Linked DNA regions of Oryctolagus cuniculus. The protein of the gene in region 1 purifies or fractionates together with the protein of each later gene. This does not show direct contact. Links are inferred from orthologs where the notes say so. Each region holds a gene or a part of one and is shown in the gene's direction. Other genes may lie near its edges.

Region 1 (8,141 bases):
CCCGCCTCGGCCCCTGGGGGCGGCGTCCAGGCCAGGCATGGGGACCGGGTGTGGGTGGAGCCCCCGGCCGGTGCAGACCTGTGACGTGCAGTGCGGCCGGGATCGGGGCTGCAGAGGTTCCCAGCAGGCCAGGCCCAGGTTCTCAAGCGCCCGAGCCCTTGGGCCTGCGCGGCCTCGCGCACGCACGGGCCGTGGGCGGGGCGTCTGTGCCGGACGCCGTGACGGATGGGACAGGCCAAGGAGGGGGCGTGGTGGGTGGGGCCGCTGGGGCGGGGGCAGGTGCTACGCCGCCGACTGTGGACGGAGGGGTGCCGGGGGGCCTCCTGTGGTCTGAGGCGTCGGTCATGAGCCCCGCGGAGGCCCCGTGTGATGGGGGCAGCAGGTGTGGCAGTCGGTGCCTGTTCCTCCGGGCGAGGTCAAGGTCTCTGCCGAGGTCCTGTGAGGCTGGCCCAAAGGCCGCTCGGCTAGGTGGCGCTCGGCTAGGTGCTGGTAGTGCGTGCTCTAGGTGGTGTGCACTGGGTGGATGCCGTGACGCGGCACGGTCGGCTCCATAACTTCCGGTTTCTATGCCCTAATCTAGACAGCCGCACGGAGAAGCAGTTGCTCTGGGTGTCCGCTCCTCCAGGGCTCTCGCATGGGAAGGTGGTTTTAAGAGTTCACTGGGGCCGGCGCTGTGGTGTGTGCGTGTGTGCAAGGTGGTGGTAGCGAGTGCACTAGGTGGCCTGTGTGTGTGCCAGGTGGGCCTGAGCTGCCCCCTGCAATTCCGACAGGGCTGGGGTGGACGCGTCGTCCTCACCAGGCAGCTCCTGACCCAGTGAGGGGAGTGCTGGCTTATTCCGGAACTTCCTGGGGCCTGAGGGCCACGGCCCCTGTGAGCCTGCGTTTTCCAAGGCGCATGTTGAAGCCACCTGGCGTGAAACTGGCCCACCCGCCCGTGGGGGTGTGCCCTGTGCGGTGGGGTTTTAGCATCCTCGCCCCTGATTCCAGAACATTCCTGCCACCCCACTCTCGCCCCTGCAGCCCCTCCACGGCTCCCGGTCCCCGTGGATTTGCGTGTTCTGGACGTTCGGTCTGTGCAGCCCCAGGCCGTGGGCGGTTTCCAGGCCCCCGAGGCGCTAGCGCTGGCCCCTACTGTGGCCGAGTGGTGTTCTGTGGGCGGCTGGGCCACCTCGTTTGTCTGTTCACCCGCGGCCGGAGGCTGGGGGTGTTCCCAGAACCTCTTGTTGCCCGTTGAGAACACTGGCCTGGGCTGTCTGGGCGGCTGTTTCTTGTTCCTTGGGAGCAGGCAGCGGGTCTGCACCTGGGACTCTCTGGTTATGGTTTCTCTCGGGCACGCTGCGGAAGCCATCTGCGTTCAGTGGACGCCGACCGTGGGGCCGTGAACTTGGACCTCCTCTCATCCTCTCTGGGGATGCGGGGCGGGGGACAGCAGCGGCGGGCACAGAACCGAGGCTCACAGCTCCCACCACCTCCCCCACGTGTCCACGTCGGCGGAGCCAGCCGGCTGCCGGTGGAAACGCACTAGGGGAAAGGCCACACCTGTCCAGAACCTCGCGGCGGGACGCCGGAGCGCGCCTCAGCGCCCGCAGGTCGTCCCGAGACGCCCCCACCCCCGTCTACGCCAAGGCCACGCCCCTTCCTTAGGGGGCACCCGTGCCTTGGCAGGTGTTGGAGCCCGCAGGGGGCCTCGCCAGAGCTCCCGCCCATGGCTGCTGGGGGGCGGCCCTACCCAGCGTCCGTGGCAGCAGAGGGTGAAGGGACGCAGACGCACGCGCGCAGGGGGGAGACTGAGCGGCTACGCGGGAACCTCTGGGCTTCCCCACGCCTTCTGAGCGGCTTGGAAAACGGCTTCGTGCTGCTTCGACCCCGCCTCCCACCTGTGAAACTTTGCGGCTGTGGCCAAGGACACCCCCACCCCCATCACCGCCCCTGTTGCCGTGACAACTCCACGGGGGAGGGGCGGGGGGCGGTGCACCTGGCCTTGCCTGCCCCAGGCTTCTCCAGGTCGAGGTCGGTAGCAGGTTTGGTGTCGGGCAGTGCCGACAGCAGAGGGTCCCTCCCCTTCCCGTCTTAGAAGGTGCTAGAAGGCTGCCTTCCCAGATGGCCCAAAACTCAGCAGAGGATTGGACATTTCTCCCACGCGTGCGAAGTCCTCGCGGGGTTCCCAGAGCAGGGCTGGGAAGTGTTGGGGGGCAGTCTCTGCTGGCCGTGAGCCTGTTCCGTTTGTGCCCCCTTCGAGCCCCCCAGGAGTAACCTCGGTGTCCCGTAGAAAGTTCTAGGCTGTGTGCCGGGTGTCAGCGAGGGGTAACTCCCCGTCTCCTTGCCTGTCGCTGCAGGAGGACGCGCATGGACACGGCCACGGGGACTGCGCCGGGGATGTCAAGCAGCCTGCGCCGTACAAGGAGGACCGACCGCAGGCGGCGCTGGAGTCCGACTCGGTGGAGTTCAACAACGCCATCAGCTACGTGAACAAGATCAAGACCCGCTTCCTGGACCACCCCGAGATCTACCGCTCCTTCCTGGAGATCCTGCACACCTACCAGGTACGCCGGCTCCGGGCGGCTCCCGGGCCATATTTCTTTGCACCGTGCTCAGGTATATAGGACGTAAAAGTCACCATGCTGAGCGGAAGTGCAGCAGCCGGGACTCAAACCTGCACCTGTATGGGATGCCGGCGCTGCAGGCAGGGGTTGTGCGGGCTCGAGCCGCGAGGCCCCGGCGCTGCTGGGATGGTGGGGCCACGGCGTTCTTCCACGAGAAACACCGGAGACAAGTTAACCACCACACAGGTGGAGGGGGTGTGGCTAACTCAGGGCAGCGCTCACCCTATAGGGGAGAACCGATATGGGATATGGGTGCCGCTCTGCTTCTCCAATCAGCCCCAAGGTCACGGAGCTCGGCTAGCACCCCAGGTGGTCCTGATGGGCCTGCGCCACACCCGGGAGCTCCCTGTTACAGGGAGCCGGGTGGGGAAAAGTGCCTGCCAGCAGTCAGGGTGTGGGGCCCCTCCAGGAGGCCTGGGGCTCCCGGCTGTCCACCTCCTGCCCGGGCAGGGCAGACTCCCTGCCAGGCACAGCGTCACCCTCACTGCTTTCTTTTGTACTACAAAGGAGCAAGCTTGCGTAACTGACTTCCAAATAAAAGAGGGAGACACAGAGCGCTTCCACCCACTGGTTCACTCCCCAGTTGGCCGCAATGGCTAGAGCTGGGCCAGGCCAGAGCCAGGAGCTCCATCCGGGTCTCCCACGTGGGTGCAGGGGCCCAAGCACTTGGGCCATCCTCCTCTGCCCTCCTGGGCCACTGCACGGAGCTGGATCAGAAGTGGGGCAGCTGGGACTCGAACTGATGCCCATATGGGATGCCTCAATGCCAGCCCCGTGAAACATACCTTTTAATTCGCTTTTTGGGTAACCTGTTTGAAGTTCCCTCATGTTCTGACTGCCAACTTGAGTGCAGCTGGCTGGTTCCTGTCCTCTGGCCTTGGCCCCCCGGTGCCGGTCACTGCCTTGATCTGGTCGGGCCGCCTGCCCAGCGTGGCCCGCTGCTGGCTCCCCACGCCTTCTGCGTGGGAGCGGCTGTGCGCCCGACTCTGACCTTGTGGTTCCCCAGCCCCCGGGTGCCCATCTGCAGCCGGGGCTGAGACGGCTGTGCACCGGCCGGTCCCCGGAGGCTTCCGCCTCGTGCAGGCCCCGGGGAGCCCGGCCCCCCGGCTGACGCTCCCTCCCCGCCCCCTTGCCTCCCCGGGCGGCAGAAGGAGCAGCTGGGTGCCAAGGGCCGGCCGTTCCGTGGCATGTCGGAGGAGGAGGTGTTCGCCGAGGTGGCCAGCCTCTTCCGCGGCCAGGAGGACCTGCTCTCCGAGTTCGGCCAGTTCCTGCCTGAAGCCAAGCGCTCCCTGGTGAGTGCCCGGGCCCGCGCCAGGCCGGCACACCGCCTGGACCCGTGGGCTGCCCCCAGCCCGCGCCGGCTGCACCGTGTGGCCACTCCACCCGCAGTGGTTCTTAAACTGGCGCTGGGGGCGGGGGTGGCCACCACCTCTCAGGTGCTGGGTGGGACTGGGGCCGGCCTCGGGGTGGATGGGAACGTGGGGGTGGGGGGGAGGGGGCAGGCCGCTGCCGGTGCTGTCTTGTCCACTTCCTCTTTTCTCACCCTCTTTCCAGTGAGCCTGCAATTTTGGTTTTTTCCTTTTATTGATGTGGAATTCAGGCAACAAAATTCACCATCTCCAAGTGGCGTTTGGGGCACTCACAGGGTTGGACAACCTCCGTCTCTTCTCTGGCCCCATCCTAGTGCCTGGAGCTGGGTGCCCTCAAGGGCCTGGACTCTGGGGGCTCCAGCCCTCCTGACCCCCCAGGTCGTGTGTCGGCTCCCTGTCATGTGGGGACCCAGCAGGGCAGTAGCGTTCTTGCCGGAGAAGCAGGTGTAGACACGGGCACTCGTGCAGGAGGAGGTGTAGATGCTGGGCATTTGTGATAGAGAAGCAGGTGTAGATACTGGGCCCTCATGCAGGAGAAGCAGGTGTAGACGCGGGGCCCTTACGCAGGAGAAGCAGGTGTAGACGCGGGGCCCTCACGCAGGAGAAGCAGGTGTAGACGCGGGGCCCTCACGCAGGAGAAGCAGGTGTAGACGCGGGGCCCTCACGCAGGAGAAGCAGGTGTAGACGCGGGGCCCTCACGCAGGAGAAGCAGGTGTAGACGCGGGGCCCTCATGCAGAAGCAGGTGTAGACGCGGGGCCCTCACGCAGGAGAAGCAGGTGTAGACGCGGGGCCCTCACGCAGGAGAAGCAGGTGTAGACGCTGGGCCCTCGTGCAGAAGCAGGTGTGGGCTGGAGCTTGCAGGCTTCGCCCTGCCTGGCCTGGGGAAGACCCCCGGGAGTACTGGAGGCGGGGCTACGGGAGTCCCCCAGGGACAGGGACGGCCCTCTTCCGCAAGCCTGTGTCCCGGCCCCCTGCCCTCTGATGCGCCTTCCCCTGAATTCCGGGCCCTGCCCGCTCTCAAGTTCAGAATCTGCCCTGTCCCCTGCCTCTTCCTGGGGCCCTGGCTGCCTGCCCGCTCCAGGGACTCGGTACCCGCGGAGCAGACGGGTCTCAAGGCCTGCCTGTGTGGCGCAGCCGCGTGGTGGGCCATGTGGGCCCCCGTGTCCCCCCGCTGTCCCCGGGGCCGCTGGGTGTTGTTTGTGGGTGGTCCCCCCTGGGTCTGGGTGTCACCGCTGTGTCCCACACCTGCAGCGCTCCGCCTAGCACGCTGCCCCCAGATGGGACCTGCGGTGTCCACGCTGGGCTCCCCAAGCCACCGCTGCAGCACTGAGCGGGCAGGGCGGTCTGGCCCTCACGGTCTCAGGAGGTGCTGTGGCTGCCTCCCGGAGGGGAGGCGCTGGGGTAGGAGCCTGGGGGATCAGCGCCCCCTGTGGGCCGCGGGGAGGAGGCCGAGAAAAGTTTGCTTAGGGAAGTCCCGGCCGGAGTGACCCCCCCCCCCCGTGTCCTGGGGTCAGTGTTGCACGTGGGGCTCCGTCTACTGGGCTGTGGGGCGTGCACAGTGGACACTGCCATGGGGGAAACAGGCCGGCCGATCTGTTCCTGCCCAGTGGGTGTCGGGGGTGGGGGGACACTCTGGTTCTCTGGTGGCTGTGGCCACAGCGCCCTCTGGTGGGCGCAACTCAGCCTTCGCCAGGCGGCCCTTCCGATGCGGGAGCCGCATCGCCCAGGAACAAAGTCAGTGTAGCATCGTTAGTGACTCGGGCACAAGAGCGCCCTTGTGCGTTGAGAAAGAGCTGGGCCGGTCCAAAGCCAGCAACCATCCGGGTCTCCCACGCGGGTGCAGGAGCAACCACTGCTTTCCCAGGCCATGGCAGGGAGCTGGATCAGAAGTGGAGCAGCCGGGACTCGGAGCGGCGCCCACATGGGATGCCTGCCGGCGCCGCGGGCGGCTTCCCCACTGGGCCGCGCTGCCGCTGTATGGCCCGCACTGCGGGTGAAGATCCTGGTGCTGAGTCGGCCGTTCCAGAGCCGCTTGTGTAGGCCCGGGTGCCCGCTGGGGAGAAGCAAGGGCTGGCGGCTAGCCCAGGAAGCAGGCCCCCCACCAGCTCCCGGCCCAGCCCCCTTATGTCCCACAGAGGAGAGAGCCCGGCCGTGTCGGGTGCGGTGGGTAAGACGCCCGCATCCCACAGCAGAGCACCTGGCTCCACTTCCCACCCAGCTCCCTGCAAATGTACCTGGGCAGGCCCCGCCCCCACGTGGGAGACCCGGATGGAGCTCCTGGCTCCTGGCTCCAGCGCTGGCTGTTGTGGACGGCTGGCGGGCGTGCTGTCACTTTTGAAATAAGTAGAAGTAGAGAACTTTTTTTTCTAAAGGAAAGAGCCCAAACCTTGGTGTCCAGGCTCCCATCGGTGGCCTGGTGCACAGCAGCCCCTCCCCCCCATTTCCGGGGCGCTCACGTGCAGGCGGTGGGGTGGCCCCGGCGGGGAGCACCTCCGGCAGCTTCTGGCTTCACAGGCGCCTGCCTGCGGGGCTCCGGGCCCCTCTTCCTCCCCCGCCGCAACCCGGCCCCCTCGCTGACCACCCCACGCCCCGTCCTCAGTTCACAGGAAACGGGCCGTGCGAGACGAGCAGCGTCCCCAAGGCCGGACACGAGAGGGGCTTGGAGCACAGCAAAAAGCGCTCGCGGCCCTCGCTGCTCCGGCCCGTGTCGGCGCCGGCCAAGGTAACGGGCGGGGGCTGCGGGCGCCGGGGTCCCCGGGCCCCAGAGGCGGGCGGCGGGCCTGAGCGGCGCGCTCGTCTCCGCAGAAGAAGATGAAGCTTCGTGGGAACAAGGACCTGTCCATCGCGGCCGTGGGGAAGTACGGGACCCTGCAGGAGTTCTCCTTCTTCGACAAGGTCGGCGGGGCGGCGGGGGCCCTGGTGAGGGGGGCTGAGCCCCTGTCCCCGCCCCGCCGGAGCTGAGCCGCCCCCGCCCCCGCAGGTGCGCCGCGTGCTCAAGAGCCAGGAGGTGTACGAGAACTTCCTGCGCTGCATCGCGCTCTTCAACCAGGAGCTGGTGTCGGGCTCCGAGCTCCTGCAGCTGGTCAGCCCCTTCCTAGGGTGAGCCCCCGCCCCCGGGTGCCGCCTTCCCCACCGCGCTCCGCCCCTGGCCCCGTGCTGTGCCCGCCCCCTGTGCGGGAGGCGGAGCCGGTGGGCCCCGCCCTGCAGGGGAGCTCGAGAGCCAGAGCTCCCATCATCTCTGCCTGCAGCAGGTGGGCCGGGCTCGGCCAAAACCGGGGCTCCCCGTGAGGGGCGGGGCCCCACGCGCTTGAGCCGCCCCTGCCGCCTCCCAGGTGCGCGTGGTTAGCGGGGAGCTGAGGGCCGCCGTGGAGCTGTGCCCAGCCCCGGCACCCTCGAGGCCTGAGTGCTCGCCCCACGTCGGGACACAGGACCCTTGCACTTGCTGTGCCCTGGCCAGGCCTTTACAGACCCGACTGGCCTGCACCTCGGAAGCCTCACAGGATGTAGTGCAATTCTAGAGAGCCCCCCCCCCATAACCAACCCCTCAGAAGCCCTGGCCCCCCGGAACCTCGCGTGCCCCCACAGCAGCGTCCAGCACCCCCTGTAGGGCCCAGGGGCTGGCGACTTCGGGAGCTGACTGCGCATGCGTGCTTCACGCTCACGCCCGCAGCCCTGGGTCCCGCGCACCTGTGGCGTGCAATGGCTGCCTCGCCAGTGGGGGTCGTGAAATGTTCCCTCCCCGCAGTTTCCGGGAGCTCCAAGAGCACCCGCTCCCGCAGCCCCTAACGTGGCGTCTCAGGGGTGTCAGGGCACCTTTGGGCCCTGCTTGCTGCGCATGCGCACCCTGGGAGGCGACAGGGGGCAGCTCCAGTCCTCTGGCCCCTGTACCCACGTGGGAGACCCGGCTGCCTGGCCAGGGATCAGCAGGCCGGGTTTGTTCCCACGCTGGGTCCTGGGCAGACAGTCTGCTCCCTGGGGTCGCCCTTGGTTTGTCTTGTAAGCGTCTTAGGAACACATAGGTGTGAGCGTATTTGATGCTGCGTCAGACAGAAATGCCGGGGCGGGGGTCGGGGGTGTTAAGATATTAGATGCACGTGCGTGGTGGCCACGCGGCCCGCAGAGGGGAGACTGTGGATCGGCAATCGGCTGCCTTGGCCTGGGAAGGAC
Region 2 (8,241 bases), on another chromosome or scaffold:
GATCTTTCATGCAGCACAGTTTTTGCCACAGTGTCTTGGCATTCCATGCCTGAAATGCTCTCATGAGATTTTCAGTCACATCTGAATGCCTTAGGGACTGATTCTGAGGTCAGAGTGCTATTCAAGGCATTTGTCATTCTATGAGTCTACTGTGTGGACTGCTTCCCATGTTGGAACTCTCTCTCCTTTGTAATTCTATCTATTGTTATTACCAAGCACTTGGTCTTATTTATGTGACCCTTTTGCTTTTTGTCCTATCTATATGATCAATTCCACATTGAATATGATCACTTTATCACATAAGATGTGATTAGTGCCACTTTAGCTTAATGGGATTTGGAGTCCCTTGGCAAGTTTTTAGCTTCACCCTTAGGGACAGGCTGTGGGAATGTGTGCCAATCTGTTCAGCTCATCCCTCTCTCATTCCCTCTCTCATTTTTAACTGGGATCTATTTTCAATGGACTTAATAGACCTATGCTTAATTCTGTTAAGTAAAGAGTTCAATCAATCGTATTAAGTAGAAAAAAATAAATAAAATGAAATATTGAACTGTTCCTTGACAGTCAAGACAAGGGCTGTTCAAGAAATTGCTTCTCGTAGTGTCAGTTTCACCTCTACAGGTTACCTTTTAAATGCTCAAATAAGTCTTTTTTTTTTTTTTTGAAGATTTACTTATTTATTTGAAAGTCAGAGTTACACGGAAAGAGGAGAGGCAAAGAGAGGGAGAGGTCTTCCATCCGCTGGTTCACTCCCCAGATGGCCTCAACGGTCGGAGCTGTACCAATCTAAAGCCAGGAGCTTCTTCTGGGACTCCCACGTGGGTACAGGGGCCCAAGGACTTGGGCCATCTTCTACTGCTTTCCCAGGCCATAGCAGAGAGCTGGATCAGAAGTGGAGCAGCCAGGTCTAGAACTGACACGCATATGGGATGCTGGCACTTCAGGCCAGGGCATTAACAAGATGTGCCATAGCACCGGCCCCCAAATAAGTCTTTTAATTCTACTTTCCCATGAACTTTCTGAAGCACCTCTCTCTCTTCTTATTTGACAGGTAGAGTTATAGATACTGAGAGAGACAGAAAGGCCTTCTTTCCATTGGTTCACTCCCCAAATGACCACTATGTCAATCTGAAGCCAGGAGCCAGGTGCTTCCTCCTGGCCTCCCATGCGGGTGCAGGGGCCCAAGCACTTGGGCCATCCTCCGCTGCCTTCCCAGGCCACAGCAGAGAGCTGGACTGGAAAAGGAGCAACCAGGACTAGAACCCGGCGCCCAAATGGGATGATTAACCCAAGTGATCAATGAGCCGGCCCCTACACCTTTGTATGACAAAGCACCACAGAAGTATGAAAGAGGGTAGGGGAAGCAGAATTGAGGAAAGTTTCTTGAACAAGAGAAACTATTTTCTTTCCAGTTGGGCATTATAGAATTGGCAGAACTGATAAGGGTGCTGTGGAGCAACGGGTTAAGCCACCCCCTTCAGCGTGGGCATCTCTGGTTAAAGTCCTGCTGCTCGACTTCTGATCCAGCTCCCTGCTAACGTGCTCGGAAGGCAGTGGATGATGGCCCAAGAGTGGGGCTCTGAGCTCTTGGCTCCAGCCCTGGCCATTTGGGGAGTGATACAAACTGGAGCAGAACCAGGAGAGAGCAAGGGAGGCTTAAATGATGAATTCCTGGTCAGTAAGCTAAGCAAGAGATCTAAGCACAGCCCTGGGTGTGAAGTTAAGTCGGTGTTAGCAGCTTTAGTGGGGCAGTTTGAAAAGGCGGGGGACAGCAGATTCCAACAAGTGGAGAGAGAGGAGACTAAAGAATATTCCATCAGTTGCTTTGAGGAGTTTGAGAATGAAGGGGAGAATAAAGTGGGGGAAGAAAAGTGACCTGAAAGAGGAAGAGGGGCACTTGAGAGGCAGCCTGGTAGCCAGGGGCTAATTCCTTGCTAAATTACCGAAGTCTGCAGGATGCCAAGAAGGGATTTGCGACCCGTTTGTTTTTTAACTAATTCAGAAACTCCAGGCCTTTATGACCGTCTGGGAAGGGGAGAGGGGCCGTATTCTAGTTTTGGCTAAGCCTTCGACAGGTGTATAAACTCCAAACCAAGCAAAGCGCCGCTCCTGGCTTCTCTGAAGACCAGGAGAGCTCGGGCAGCTGCCTTTCCGAGCTGCGTGTCAGAGCCCCGCTCCGAGCCCGCTGATTTCAACCGCGGGAGCTGGCTCGGAGACAGGCCCGGCGCAGACCCCATCCTCCCGCGACGCTCAGGCTTGGCCCGCCGTGGCCTTCGGCAGCCACAGTAGGCCCCAAGCACAGCCCGAAACACCCTCGGCCTTGCCCGCGGCCCCTCCGGCTCGCCGAGGTCGGCTCGGCCTCCATTGCCATTCCCGCGCCGCGCCGCACCGCCCGCCCCTCGGGAAAATGAAACCTAGCGCCGTCAGGCTGAGGCGAAGGGGTGGGATCCACCGTCCTCTCTCACTCGGCAAAGAGAAAAGGCAGAACCGACTCCAGACGGCAAAGGGGTGTGTAGCACCGGTCGAGTCGCCGGGAGGCCCCGCCCCGGCGCTCTCCACCTCCTTCCCGGCCCGCCCTCCTGGCTCCGGAGACTACACTTCCCAGAGGCCCCCGCGGCTTCGAGGGGCAGGCCCGTCCGCTCCCCGGCTCACAGCGGGCAGGGATTGGTTCCTCCGGGGCGAGGCGGGGCCTCCCCCAGCCAGTAGGCGACAAGCTCGTTACGGCGGCGGAAGCAGCGGCACCGGAGTGAGGGGTGGGGGGCAGAGTGCTAGCGCCCCGGCGGCGGCTGCGGGTCCGGAGCCCGAGGACGTCGGTCCTGCAGGCGGAGAGCGCACGGGAGCGAGCTCGAGGCGGCGCGGCGACCACTCGGCGCAGCACCCAGGTAATGGCGGGACGGGCGCCCGGGAGGGGAGGGGAGGGGAGGAGGCGAGGGGGCGGGGCGGCCGCGCCGGGCTGCAGCGTCCGTCCCGCTGCGCGTCCCCGGGGAAGGGCAGAGGTGTCTCGGCTCCTGCGGCTCGGACCCCGGGTCTTTAGCGAGCTGCGCACGGCGGTTGGGGCGGAGGCAGGGTCCGGGTGTCCTGCGGCGAGGAAGGGAGAGGCACCGGGAGGGGTGGGCTGACCCAGGCATGGGGGCGTGGCGGACGTGGGCCTCGGCGGGGAAGCGGAGCTGTGGAGGGAGCGCGGGCGGGCGGGCGGCCCAGGGAGTTTGGCTCCTGGAGCAGTTTAAAGTGACTCTCCACATCCGGGCCCTGCGCCCGCCGCTTTCAGACCCCGGCCGAGGCGGGGCCTCCCAGCTCCCCGCCCCCCTTGCCGGGAGCGCTTGTCTTCCCCTGCCATTGGCTCAGCCTCGAGGGGTTTGGGCTGCCCCAGCGAGGCTCGCGCCTGATTGGCTGGCGGTCGGCGGGAGGGTGGGGCGGGCCCAGAGCTCTCAGGCCGCTATGGATTGGTGCTCGGCCTCTAGTGACGCGCCGGGCGTGGGGCCAATGGGCGGGCGGGGGAGGTAGGGGCAGGTTCGGGGGAAGAGACGCCTGGGAGCCCCGCGGCGGCCGGGTTGGCGGGGTGAGCGGGGCTGGCTGGGCTGGACAGCGGCGGGCGCGGGGAGCGCTCCGGCACGAGTCCTCTCCGCGGCCCCGGAGCCCAGCGCTGCCGCCGAGATGGGCCCTCCGCGGCAGCCCCAGGCCGGCGAGATGGAAGCCGGAGGTGCGGGCGGCGGGCGGCGGCTACAGGTAAAGGGGCTCGCTGCTTGTGTTGTCTGGGGTCTCCCCGGGACGCTGACTTCCTCCGGGGTCGGCGTCTCAGGCACCCGGAGTGTCTGGAAGCCTGGGCGCTGCGACCTCGGCGTGGGGTTCGGGGTGGGGTGGGGTTGCAGGGGAATGGGGGAGATTGGCAGACCCTGACTCTCGAGGGCGAAGTGGGAGGCTATTTCAGAGAAGGTGGAGGTCTCGGCGTCCCCTGGCTCAGCGGGGGCTTGTGAGAGAGGGAGGATAAAAGAAATCCGTAAATGGAGGCCTTTGCAGAAAAGCGCTGGAGAATTCCTTTTGCATCACGTCTTGATGTGAGATTTTGAGTCCCTCCTTTGGGTTGGGAATCACCCCTTCGAATCCTTCCTTTACACACCAATCGTAGTTCTGCTCACCTTGCTGTGCGATTCGAACCTTTCAAAGGGACGTGTCATTTTTTTCCCTAAAACTTTATAGGTCCATTATGCATTGTGGTGATACCTATCATGTAGCTGTTTTGCAAAATTCATAGTCCACAGGTATCCCCCTGCACGGTACACTTACTGATCTCCTATATATCAGAAACTTACACATAATTTAAATAATGCCAGCACTTACAAGAGCAGTTGAACAAGTTGATGGCAAATGGAATCTAAAGATAAGTTTATTTAGATGCAGAATATTTTTGAGATCTCTGCATGGTTGACTTTTTGAAGACACCTCATATTTGGATTGCAAGTTGTTATTTTAGTTAAATTATGCTAGATTAGCTATTCCAAGAGAAGATGTCATAGACAGTAAAGGTGGCTTAAGTTGCAGATATCGATTCTGCTTTAGAATCTAGTAATAACGACATGACTCTGTCCTACAGGTGGAAATGAGTTCTCAACAGTTCCCTCGGTTAGGAACCCCTTCCACCGGGCTGAGCCAGGCTCCTTCACAGATTGCAAACAGTGGCTCTGCAGGATTGATAAACCCAGCTGCTACAGGTGAGATGTGTAATATTCTTTATCGCTTCCTGCTTTACCAACATTGCCAGTTTTCTAACTTAAAAATCAGCTAATTTCATCTTGGGTTTTAGTACATACTAGTGTATTGAGGTTGAAGAAAGTGTATTTTACTATTCTAATTTGAAAAAGTCTTTTTTTCCCCTAGTATTTTAATCACTTCATTCACATGTACTCATGTACTGGAATACATAGGCAACTCACAGTAAAATGTGCCTGTAAGAGCTGTTTTTCAAATGCATTAATGAGTTTTTTTTTTTTTATGATTTATTTTACTTACTAGAAAGAGTTACAGAGAGAGAGGGAGAAACTAGATAAAGGAAAAGGTCATGAGTTTGAAAGCTCAGTAATTTTAAGATAATTCTACCAACGTGATCTAAAGATTCAGAGAAACCCTACTCAGAATCCCAGCAGGCTCTTTTGTAAAGATTGACAGCCTGGTTCTAAACTTGCTGGGGCTATTTGAAGGATCTAACATGGCCAAGGCAATTTTGACCAAAGAAGAAGCGGGAGGACACTACACCCTTACTTCAGGACTGGTTGTAAAGCTGCACTAGTTAAGACTAAGCAATATCAGTGTTGAGATAGAAACATATAGGGGCCAGTATTGTGGTCATCCCATATGACTGCTGGCCCATGTCCTGAATGCTCTGTTCCTGACCTGGCTCCCTGCTAATGGACTGGGAAAGTAGTGGAAAATGGCCCAGGAGTTTGGGCCCCTGTCACCCACATGGGAGACAAGGATGAAGCTTCCAGATTCTTTTTTATTTATTTATTTATTTTAATTTTTTTATTATTATTTTTTTTGACAGGCAGAGTTAGAGAGAAAGATCTTCCCTTCCGTTGGTTCACCCTCGAAATGGCTGCTACGGCCGGCGCGCTGCGCCGATCCGAAGCCAGGAGACAGGTGCCTCCTCCTGATCTTCCATGCGGGTGCAGGGCCCAAGGACCTTGGGCCATCCTCCACTGCCTTCCCAGGCCACAGCAGAGAGGTGGACTGGAAGAGGAGCAACCGGGACTAGAACCGGTGCCCATATGGGATGCCGGCACCGCAGGTGGAGGGTTAACTAATTGAGCCATGGCGCCGGCCCTTCTAGATTCTTGTGGCCATCTGTGGAATGAACCAGCAGATGGAAGATCAGTCTCTGTTTCTCTCTCCTTAACGCTCTCTGAATGAATGAATGAATGAATATTTCAAGGAGAAAAAAAGATAGAAACATCTGTCACTAGAAAAAAGTGGAAGCTCTAAAAGTAGTCTCAGACCTACGTGGTCAGTCGATTTTTGACCAAAATGTTTAAGTCATTCAGTAGGGAAATGACCACTAGAATATGGGAAATGATGAACCTTGACCTTAACTCAAGACCTAAATATAACTTTTAAACTTTCTGAAAGAAACATCAGAGAAACTTTGCAACCTTGGGTTAAACAAAAATCGCTCAATTACAACAAACACTAATCATGAAAGTAGTAACTGATTTTTTAATAGAAAACTTTAAAAGTAGTAACCGATATATTATCCTCAAAGTTTAAATTGTCTGCTGTTCAAAAGACATCTTTAAGAAAATAAAAGGGCCTGGGGGCCGGCACTCCACAGTGTAGTGGGTTAAGCCTCCATCTGCAGTGTCGGCATCCCCATGTGGGCGCCAATTCGTGTCCTGCTGCTCTTCTTCTGAAACAGCTCTGGGCTGATGGCCTGGGAAAGTGTTGGAGGGTGGCCCACGTGCTTGGGCCCCTGTACCCGTGTGGGAGACCCAGAAGAAGCTCCTGGCTCCTGGCTTTGGATTGGCCCACCTCCAGCCATTGTGACCATTTGGGGAGTGAGGCAGTGGATGGAAGATTTTCTCACTGTCTCTCCTCTGTGTGTCGCTCTGCCTCTCAAATAAGTAAATCTTTAAAAAAAAAAAAAAAAAAAAGGGCAAGCCACAGACAGAAGACAAGAAGACATTTGTGAAAAATATTTCTATAAAGGACTCATAACTGGAATATGTTAAGCATTATAACTCAGTAGGAAAAAGATAAAGAACTTGGTTTTTTTAAAATGAGCAGAATATTTGAATAGACACTTCACCAAAATGAGGAGAGCAAATGAAACACACGAAAAGGTGCTGAAATGATCAATCCTCGGAACAACGCACGTTATATCCATAGTGAGAATTCCACTAGTGTGACTGAAATTAGAAAGCGGGCACTGCCAAGTATTGGTGTGGATGTAGAGCAGATAGAACTCATGCACTGTTGATGGGAATGCAAGAGGGACTGGCCGCTTTGGAAAACAGTTTGGCAATTATCTTGTCGAACACATGCCACAACTGAGCAGTTCCGTTCTTTAGGTATTTACTTAGAATAAATGAGAACATGTTTATACAAAGACTTGTACTCAAATGCTTATAGAAGCTTTATTCATAATAGCCAAAACTTGGGAAAAACTCAGGTATTTATTAGCTGGTGATAGACAAATTGTGACATATGCAAATAATAAACTACCACTGTGGTGGTATATCCATGCAGTTTAATACTACTTAGTGGGACCAGAGCTGTGGTGGCATCCCATATGTGCGTTGGTTCATGTCCCAGCTGCTCTACTGTGATCCAGCTCTTCGCTGATGTGCCTGGAAGGCAGCAGAAGATGGCCCAAATGCTTGGGTCCCTGCACCCACATGGGAGACCTGGATGAAGCTCCTGGCTGTGTCCTGGCCCAGCCCTGGCTGTTGCAGACATCTGGGAAGTGAACCAGTGGATGGAAGATTTTTTCTCTTTCTCTTTCTCTCTCTCTGACTTTCAAAATGAATAAATCTTTAAAAAAAAAAAAATACTACTCAGCAATAAAAAGACCAGGTTGCCAGCACCCCAACAGCATGGCTAAACCTCAGACACATTACACTGAGGGAAAGAAGCCAGATACACAGGACCTTAGATTGTGATTCTGTGCATAAGAAATTACGGAAATGACAAAGCTGTAGTGGCAGCGAGCAGAGCCGTGGGAGAGGGAGTGGACTGCAGTGGACATGACTGAGCTTATTGGAGTAGTGGGAAAAGCCCCATATCCAGATGTCCAGATCACATTGTGGTTATCCTGCGGTCCACTTTCGTGACATTTTATCTAGGCTTACCCAAAGAATTAGTGAATTTTACATATAAGTTGTATCTCAGTAAAGCTTATTGATTAAAAATAGACATGGTTGAGTAGACACTTCATAAAAGAAAATGTATATGAATGGCTTATGGTCACATAAAAAGATGCTCGTTGGTACACATCATCATAGAAATACTAATTAAATACTAATTAAAGCCACGATGATACACACACACACACACGCATATGCATACATACATACACACACACCACACTGCGCACCCAATAGAGTAGCAGTCTGTGAGCACTGGGAGAATGAGGAGCACTGGAACTCACCTGCTGGGGGAAGCTAGAATGGTTCAGCTGCTCTGGAAAGTCCTTTGACACTTTTTTAGCATTAAACTTGTGCTTACCCCTTAACCCAGGCCTTCTGCCTCTAG
Region 3 (8,141 bases), on another chromosome or scaffold:
AGAACATGATGGAGGGCAAGCAAGATTGCTGTGTGAGCCCATGAGGGAGGGCAGGGGCAAGAGTAAATGCTTAAGAGCCAGTTCACTTTTACAGCAAAGCTGCTCCCTCTGTAACTAACCATCCCCAAGATGATGAGCCCCCATGATCTAACCACCTCTTAAAGGTCTCTTCTCCCAATACTGTTATAATCACAGCTAAATTTCAGTGTGTTTTCAGAAGGGATATTTAACTCATAGTAGCTGGATTGGAGATTTTTCTTCAGTATTTTATGGGCATTGTTCAGGTTTTTTTTGTTTGTTCCAGTGTTGATTCTCTGAAGTCCAGAACTCTTCCATTTCCTGATTCTTTGTATGTGACTTGTGTTAAGAAAAAAGAAGATATTATTAGAGTTCTTTTCTTACCATTTTTTCCTTTTGTTTTCTAGCTTCTGAAAGTTCTGCTGAGGACAGTGAGCAAGAAGATGAGAGAAGTACTGAGGATATAGATAATAATGGCAAAGAAGAATCTAAAATTGACCATTTGACCCACACCAGAATTGAACTTATTTCAAAAGAGGAGCAGAACAGTTCATCTCTGCTGGAAGAAAACAAAGTTCACACGGATTTGGTAATATGTAAACCAGCATCAAAATCTCCAGAAAGACTAAGAAAAGATGTGGAAGGATTATCTGAAGATACTGATTATGAAGAAGATGATGTCACAAAAAAGAGAAAAGAAGTCAAGAAGGACACAATGGACAAATCTTCAAAGCCACAAATAAAACGTGGTAAAAGAAGATTTTGCAATACAGAGGAATGTTTAAAAACTGGATCACCTAGCAAAAAGGAAGAGAAGACCAAGGGCAAAGAATCACTTTGCATAGAAAATAGTAGCAACAGCTCTTCAGATGAAGATGAAGAAGAAAAATCAAAAGCAAAGATGACACCAACCAAGAAATACAATGGTTTGGAGGATAAAAGAAAATCTCTACGGACAACTGGATTCTATTCAGGATTTTCAGAAGTGGCAGAAAAAAGGATAAAACTTTTAAATAACTCTGATGAAAGACTTCAGAACAGCAGGGCTAAAGATCGAAAAGATGTGTGGTCGAGTATTCAGGGACAGTGGCCTAAAAAAACGCTGAAGGAGCTTTTTTCTGACTCGGATACTGAGGCTGCCGCTTCCCCACCCCATCCTGCCCCAGAGGAAGGGGCAACAGAGGAGTTACTGCAGACTGTGGCTGAAGAGGAGAGTTGTTCACCCAATGTAGAGTCAGAAAAACCACCACCAGTCAATGTTGATAGTAAACCCATTGAAGAAAAAACAGCAGAGGTCAATGACAGAAAAGCTGAGTTTCCAAGCAGTGGTAGTAATTCAGTGTTAAATACCCCTCCTACTACGCCCGAATCGCCTTCCTCAGTCACAGTCACAGAAGCCAGTCAGCAGCAGTCCTCTGTGACAGTATCAGAACCCCTAGCTCCAAACCAAGAAGAGGCTCGAAGTATCAAGAGTGAAACCGATAGCACAATTGAGGTGGACAGCGTTGCAGGGGAGCTCCAGGACCTGCAGTCTGAGGGCAATAGCTCACCAGCAGGCTTTGATGCAAGTGTGAGTTCCAGCAGTAGTAATCAGCCAGAGCCAGAACATCCTGAAAAAGGTGAGGAGGAAAAAAGTGTATGTTGACTTTTTTTAGAATTTCCCCTCTTAAATTTTTAATGGTTTCACAGTATCTCGTTTTAATATGACACATTTAAGTGATGTACTTGTGTGATCCTGGTAAAAGTGGAAATTTGAAAGGTAATCTAACTAATGAATAGTGAAATGCATTTAAAATCTTGAGGGGCCTTTAAAGTCCTTTGCTTGAGCCGTCCATGAACTTTCATAGTCGACCAGAACACATGCTGGAAATTGCACCCAGGCCAAAATCCACACCTGTTTGAAAAATCATTATATATGCTGGTTGACTATATGGCTTGAGCAACTGAAATATATTTCTGTAACATTGTTTTTGCAATTGTAATGTGCAGTTTCTCACAAACATTTTGATTTATTGACAGACCCCTCCACCCTTAACCAAATACTGTATGTAGGGGTTTGGAGCAACCAACTGTCCAGGCACTGCTTTCCTCAGACAACCGTGTCAAACTGATTTTCAAGCCTGACTAACTTGTGTGAGTCTGTAAAGGAATTTGATGCTTTCTTAGATGCATAGCTTCCAAATTGAAGGACCAATATATGTGTTAATAAACTATAGCATTACTTTTTTGATTTTCCGTGAAGTTGTTTAAAAGTGGAAATTCAAATTAGTACTTTCCAAAAGTATTAGTGCCTTTCGATGGTGCCATACCTATACATTTCTATCATCATTTTTCTTATAAACCAGTTCATTCAGGTAGCTTTGAATCAGTATACTCTAGGCTGACACTTGGCTTTTGAAACACATTTTTCCATTGGAAAGATAGAATGCATAGGGTATACATCAGGTTTTCATGTGCTAGCTATAGATTTTCAGCTAAACTCAAAAGAGAAACAATCTAGATTAGTTCTAAGGTTTTTCTCACAAATCTTAAAACATTTCTTCTTTTAAAAATTTTTTATTTATCTGTGAGACAGATAAAGAGCTTCATCCACTGGTCTGCTCCCCAAATTCCTATAATGTTCTAGGCTGGGCCCAGCCCAAGACAGTAGCCAGGAGCTCAACCTAGGTCTTTCGTAAGAGTGGCAGGAGCCCAACTATTTGAACTATCAGTGCTGCCTTCCAGGGTCTGCATTAGCAGGAAACTTGAGCCAGGAATGAAACTGAGGAGCTTTGATGTGGGATGCAAGTATCCTAACAGGTGTCTTAACCACAAGGCCAATCACCTGCCCTAAGACATTTCTTTTTAAAATTAATTAAGCAAAAAGTATAGTTGCAATTAAATCAAGATGATCTTTGTTTTTTGTTTTTGTTTTTGTTTTTTTTTTTCTGCTTTCACAAGTATACAGTTACTATAGTTACATCTGTGTGCCATACTCTTTCATGGAACCAAATTACCTCGGCATGAATGGAGTAATCTTCCATATGAAAGAATCTTTTGTCACAAATGATGAGATAGGCAGTCAACAACAGTATGATAAAATTTTACAGTTACATTTATTAGTAGGTTATATCCTCATGTTCTTCATTTCTTAAGAAAGATTAAAATTAACAAAAAAGTTATTGTATCATCTACAAATAGACTGTTAGTATTGCCTTTTTGATTTTAGTCTGGACTAGTTTGAAAAGTGTAGAAGTTAAGAGCTGCTCCCAAATTTAGGATGAGAGAAATCATCTGCTTTATCAAATCAAAATATTTTTTAATTGTTTAGAATATGTTTGGAATAAATTCTCAAGTATCCTTTGTATAAGGCCTGCTTTTAATAAATTTGGGAATATTAGAGAATCTGCATTAAGTAAAAATATGTTTCACTATTTAGTTTTTCCACTGTACTTTAGTGTTTATGGAAGTTTTTATTTCTTAGTATCTGAAAGCATTAAAATTAAACTCTTGGAGAGAAAAATGGCACTTAATTATAAAATTTTGTGCTTCAGTATAGTTGACATTTAAGTCACCATATTTATGTTTCACTTAAATCACATTAAAATAATGCTAAGAGAAATTATAAATAACATATCACCCTTTAAAAAAGAAAAGTATCTAGGAAGTTGCAAACATTTAATAGCCTGTCCCATTCTTGACCACAGTCATGTTTCAACACTGAAATATTGATTTTACCATTGGTAACAGAACCAGAAAACTTTGTAGTAAACCGTGCATGATTCTTTCATAATATTAATTTATATCATGTATTATAGTATCTGACATTGGAACTAAATGGAGATAGCACTTCATTCATCTGTGCCTGAAAGCATCTTTTGTGTAGTCTGAGAGATAATATAAATAATTAGAAAAATACTAAAACGTAGTAGATGCTAAGGACCAAATGAGTAGTATAGAAAGATACATCACTGGAATAGTGATTAATCCGTGAAGCTGGGAGCCTCAGGGAAGGTCTTAGTGAAGATGCAGGACTTGAGCTAGTCAAAGAAAAAGGAGACATTTATTTATCATGTATTGGGATAATTTCCCACCAAGATATTTCTTAGAATTACTGTATTGAGTTTGTAATATAGATATATACACACACACCATTGCAAATATATACATAATTATTTGTAATGTGTATATATATAGTATATATACACTTATACCATTGCAAATATATACAAACATTTGTAATGTATATTATATTGTAATATATTACATATATATTTTATATATAAAATAACCAGTGTCCTGAGAGCTAAGCTTTTTTGAAATAAGTGTTAAAAAACCAAGTGTGAATTATTACTAAAGTTTATCCCATTAATATTTTTATGCCACTTAAAATTATATTAATATCATTGTAAGACATAACATTGATATTTTTAAGCTGCAATTAAATTTTAATATTTTGATTTTAATGAATCTTAACAAATTTCAGTTTTTATTTTCAGCATTTACCTGTTTTTCAGTTTCTAGATATATAAACTCTCAGTGCTATATTGAAAACTATTTTCAATTTATACTGATTTTTCTAAGGATGTGTATACTTTATTTACTTTCTAAAATACCCTAATTTTTATTATATGCAAGAATTCAGCTTTGGTGAATGGTAGTTTATTAAAAATTTATATTAACTTGTATGATAATTATAAATCTCACAAAGACCATGTAGGTTTGGAACTGTTTTTTTTACAATGTGGAATTAATTTATACCTAGGGTATGTTTGATTTTATTTTGTGTTACTTAATTTCTTTCCCATCATAGCCTGTACAGGTCAGAAAAGAGTGAAAGATTCTCAGGGAGGAGGAAGTTCATCAAAAAAGCAGAAAAGAAGCCATAAAACGACAGTGGTAAACAACAAAAAGAAGGGAAAAGGCAGTAAGTGTGAAACCTCTAGTTTTTAAAATATAAAAATAATAGCTGATATACTTTGCCCCTCCCCATTAAGAAAAGGGTATTCAGAATATGGGATAGATCAATGTTTTTTTCTCACTACCTTCAAAAATGTCACACAAAAGTTTTCTGCCTCTCTGTAGGTAAAGCAACTCATGTTCTCCACACTACCATTAACCCTCCTCTTGTTTTTAAATAAGTTTTTAAAAAGGGGAGGGGCAGTCATAGAGTTTTCTGATCCTATAGTAAATTCTGTGATTTAAGCAAGTTGGTATTGTTCAGCAGCTGCATTGATTGTTGATGAATGATTGGTTAATCCTTTTAAAAATCATAACTAATGTAACATAAACAAATATCATTGTTACCTTTGTGTTCCAGTTTTTTTTCACTTAATTATCTATATCAAATATTGTACAGTTCTTCAGTCGTATATTTTTATTACCATGAAATTGGCTGCTTAGTAATTCTTCAAGGCAAAAGCAACATAGAAGGAAACAATCAAGATAGCTTTAGAATCATAATTCCAGCAATTCCAGTTTGTATTTATGTTTGGTACGCCACACTGTGTGACTCTAGAGCAACTACAAGCTAGTATGCTTCCAGCCAAATACTTAACTTTAGCAATGACGCTGCTCATTGACTTACAGAGAATATATTATACTATATTTCTCCTGAGGGCTGCACATTGTATCTCTCTTTTGTAGATAAAGGAAGAAGCGGAAAATATGTAAAGAATTTTTTTTCAGGTGTCCCACACTGACCTCCTGCTGCTCTTCCAGGAGACTCCTGCCACCTCCACTGCCTGACCTTTGCTAGCAGCCGGCTTGGCTGCACTTCAGTGCAGAAAAGGGTTATTCGGCCAGCTCCCCGAGGTTCTGCTGAGCCCATATGACTTCCAGGCGGTGAATATGGCATCCCTCGGGCCCCGGGCGGCTGTGCTCAGCAAGGCCATGAAAGCCAGGCAGAGGCAGGCCACTGCATAGAGTGGGACTGAGCCTTGGGTGACTTAGCTTGGAGCTGCCAGAGGTTCCAGAGCAGCAGTGGGAGGCTGGGAGGGAATTCAGATACAAAATGCGAAGAGTGGTGGAGTTTCTTTATTTCCAAAAGAGCACGGTGGGAGGAGATGCTATGTTCATTTATTTACTATTTGTAATACTTTTCAGGCTTTACAGCCTGTTTTTTTTCTTTTAATGGCTATTAAGTAAAGAATCAATATATCATAATGCAAATTGTTCATCAGTTATTTGGTGTAACTGATGGATATTTAAAATGATAGGATTCATTTTTCTTACATTGTGATATTTTTGTCTTCAAGACTTTATTGTTTAAATGACATTTCCTGAGAGGGCTCATCTTCAACAAGTTAGTTAATATATCCATACAGTATAGAGGGTGCAATAGTTGATTGAGTTTTTCCTATTTTAATTATTGGGATTCTGCCATGGTAAATCAGAATGAGTTAACTCTCTCTGAGAATGACTTGTTAAAGTGAATTAATTTCTGATGGAATCTAAAATAGTATTTTATATCCAAAAAGTAATTCATGGAAATACTAATCCTATCACCTATTCATATGGTAAGCTGTCAAGGTTAAGTATTTGCATTCTAGTACTAAATCTTAATTATCTAAGGCAGATGTAACATAACTGTTATACTGACTACTAAATTCTCATAAACTACTGGATATATTCATCCAGGAGGGAATTTACCAATGGAAAAGTGATGGTTTATTTTAGTCATAGGAGTTATTTAAGAAGAAATTTATTATACATGTCAAAACTGTGAGTGTATTTTCAAGGAATTCTTTATTGAATATGATGATTATGCTCTTTGTAAATGGCCAAGAGAGTAAGAAAATATTATGTGTCCTATTTTTTAAAAAAGTGATTTATTTATTTATTTGAAAGGTAGAGTTACAGAGAGAAAGAGAGAGAGAGAGAGAGATCTTCCATTTGCTGGCTCATTCCCCAAATGGCCTCAACTACCCTAGGCTGGGCCAGGCTGAAGCCAGGGGCTTGGAACTCCATCTGGGTCTCTGTATGGGTGGCAGGGCCCAAGTACTTGGGCCATCATCCTCTGCTGCTTTCCCAGTGCTGGAAGTTGGACTGGAAATAAAGCAGCCAGGACACTAACCAGTGTTCATATGGGATTCTGGTGTCCCAGGCAGCAGCCCAACCTACCATGCCACAACACCTGCCCTATCTAAAGTTTTTTAAAATTAAGAAGTTTCTAAAATATAATTCTAAAAGATGCTGCATTTTTACTCTATATAGTAACATCATAGATTTATAAAAACCTTCAGGTGATTGCTGTGTATTTGACAGGCTATGTAATTTGGAAGATTAGTGTGTTTTTATTATTATTATTATTATTATTGGCCGTTCAAATACGAACATATGTTTTTTTAAACTGGGATGCTGCTACATTTGTGTGTGATTTTTTTAGGTTTATGGGCAGACTGCTATAGTCATAAATTCAAATGGTTAGTTTAAAATTATACACTAAAAGCATGTGACAAATTCATTGTTACCCTTTTGGTTATTAATGTTTTTCTTTTTCTTTCAGCAAACAGTAGTGACAGTGAAGAACTTTCAGCTGGTGAGAGTGTAACTAAAACTCAGCCAGTCAAATCAGTTTCCACTGGAATGAAGTCGCATAGTACCAAATCCCCAGCAAGGACACAGTCTCCGGGAAAGTGTGGAAAGAATGGGGATAAGGATCCTGATCTCAAGGAAGCCAGTAATAGATTACCCAAAGTTTACAAGTGGAGTTTTCAAATGTGTAAGTGACATATGTTGACAAGTAAGCTGTAGGAAGTTCATCCTGGTAACTCTTAATGCTAGTACTCTGAAAAAGAGGCTATACCAAACTTAAGAGACATACTAACCAATTGCAGTGTATAGATCTGATTTGAATAAACAAATCACAAAAGAATAAATTTTATGAGAATGGTAGCAAACAATATGAAACTATGTTTTTGATATGCTAGAAAAAACAACCTGGTATTATATTTGAAGAATGGATAGGGTTACAGATGAGGCAAGATTTGTCATAATTGGTAATTACTGAAGCTGGGTGAAAGGCTAATGGACTTCAGTATACTTCTCTCTGTACTGTGTATATGTGAGAGATCTCCATAATAAAGGAAGTGTGTCTAAAAAAAGGCTGCACTAAAGCTTTTCACATAGGGAAATTCCACAGG

The links.
Region 2: the proteins of SIN3B (region 1) and SAP130 purify together in Homo sapiens (affinity purification with mass spectrometry; 3 studies listed by BioGRID and IntAct, with this or other methods). This does not show direct contact. The link is inferred for Oryctolagus cuniculus from reciprocal best matches to the Homo sapiens genes SIN3B and SAP130.
Region 3: the proteins of SIN3B (region 1) and ARID4B purify together in Homo sapiens (affinity purification with mass spectrometry; 3 studies listed by BioGRID and IntAct, with this or other methods). This does not show direct contact. The link is inferred for Oryctolagus cuniculus from reciprocal best matches to the Homo sapiens genes SIN3B and ARID4B.

What each region holds. Positions count from the first base shown.
Region 1 is NC_091447.1:65,107,048-65,115,188, forward strand, and holds part of SIN3B (paired amphipathic helix protein Sin3b), read left to right. Parts: intron 1-2,336; coding exon 2,337-2,543; intron 2,544-3,751; coding exon 3,752-3,895; intron 3,896-6,573; coding exon 6,574-6,696; intron 6,697-6,779; coding exon 6,780-6,869; intron 6,870-6,954; coding exon 6,955-7,073; intron 7,074-8,141.
Region 2 is NC_091434.1:118,466,332-118,474,572, reverse strand, and holds the start of SAP130 (histone deacetylase complex subunit SAP130), read left to right. Parts: upstream 1-3,545; 5' UTR 3,546-3,654; coding exon 3,655-3,726; intron 3,727-4,591; coding exon 4,592-4,709; intron 4,710-8,241. UniProt on the Homo sapiens protein: Acts as a transcriptional repressor. May function in the assembly and/or enzymatic activity of the mSin3A corepressor complex or in mediating interactions between the complex and other regulatory complexes.
Region 3 is NC_091444.1:54,442,756-54,450,896, reverse strand, and holds part of ARID4B (AT-rich interactive domain-containing protein 4B), read left to right. Parts: intron 1-425; coding exon 426-1,637; intron 1,638-2,037; exon of another isoform or gene 2,038-2,151; intron 2,152-4,810; coding exon 4,811-4,924; intron 4,925-5,685; coding exon of another isoform or gene 5,686-5,699; exon of another isoform or gene 5,700-5,835; intron 5,836-7,504; coding exon 7,505-7,720; intron 7,721-8,141. UniProt on the Homo sapiens protein: Acts as a transcriptional repressor. May function in the assembly and/or enzymatic activity of the Sin3A corepressor complex or in mediating interactions between the complex and other regulatory complexes.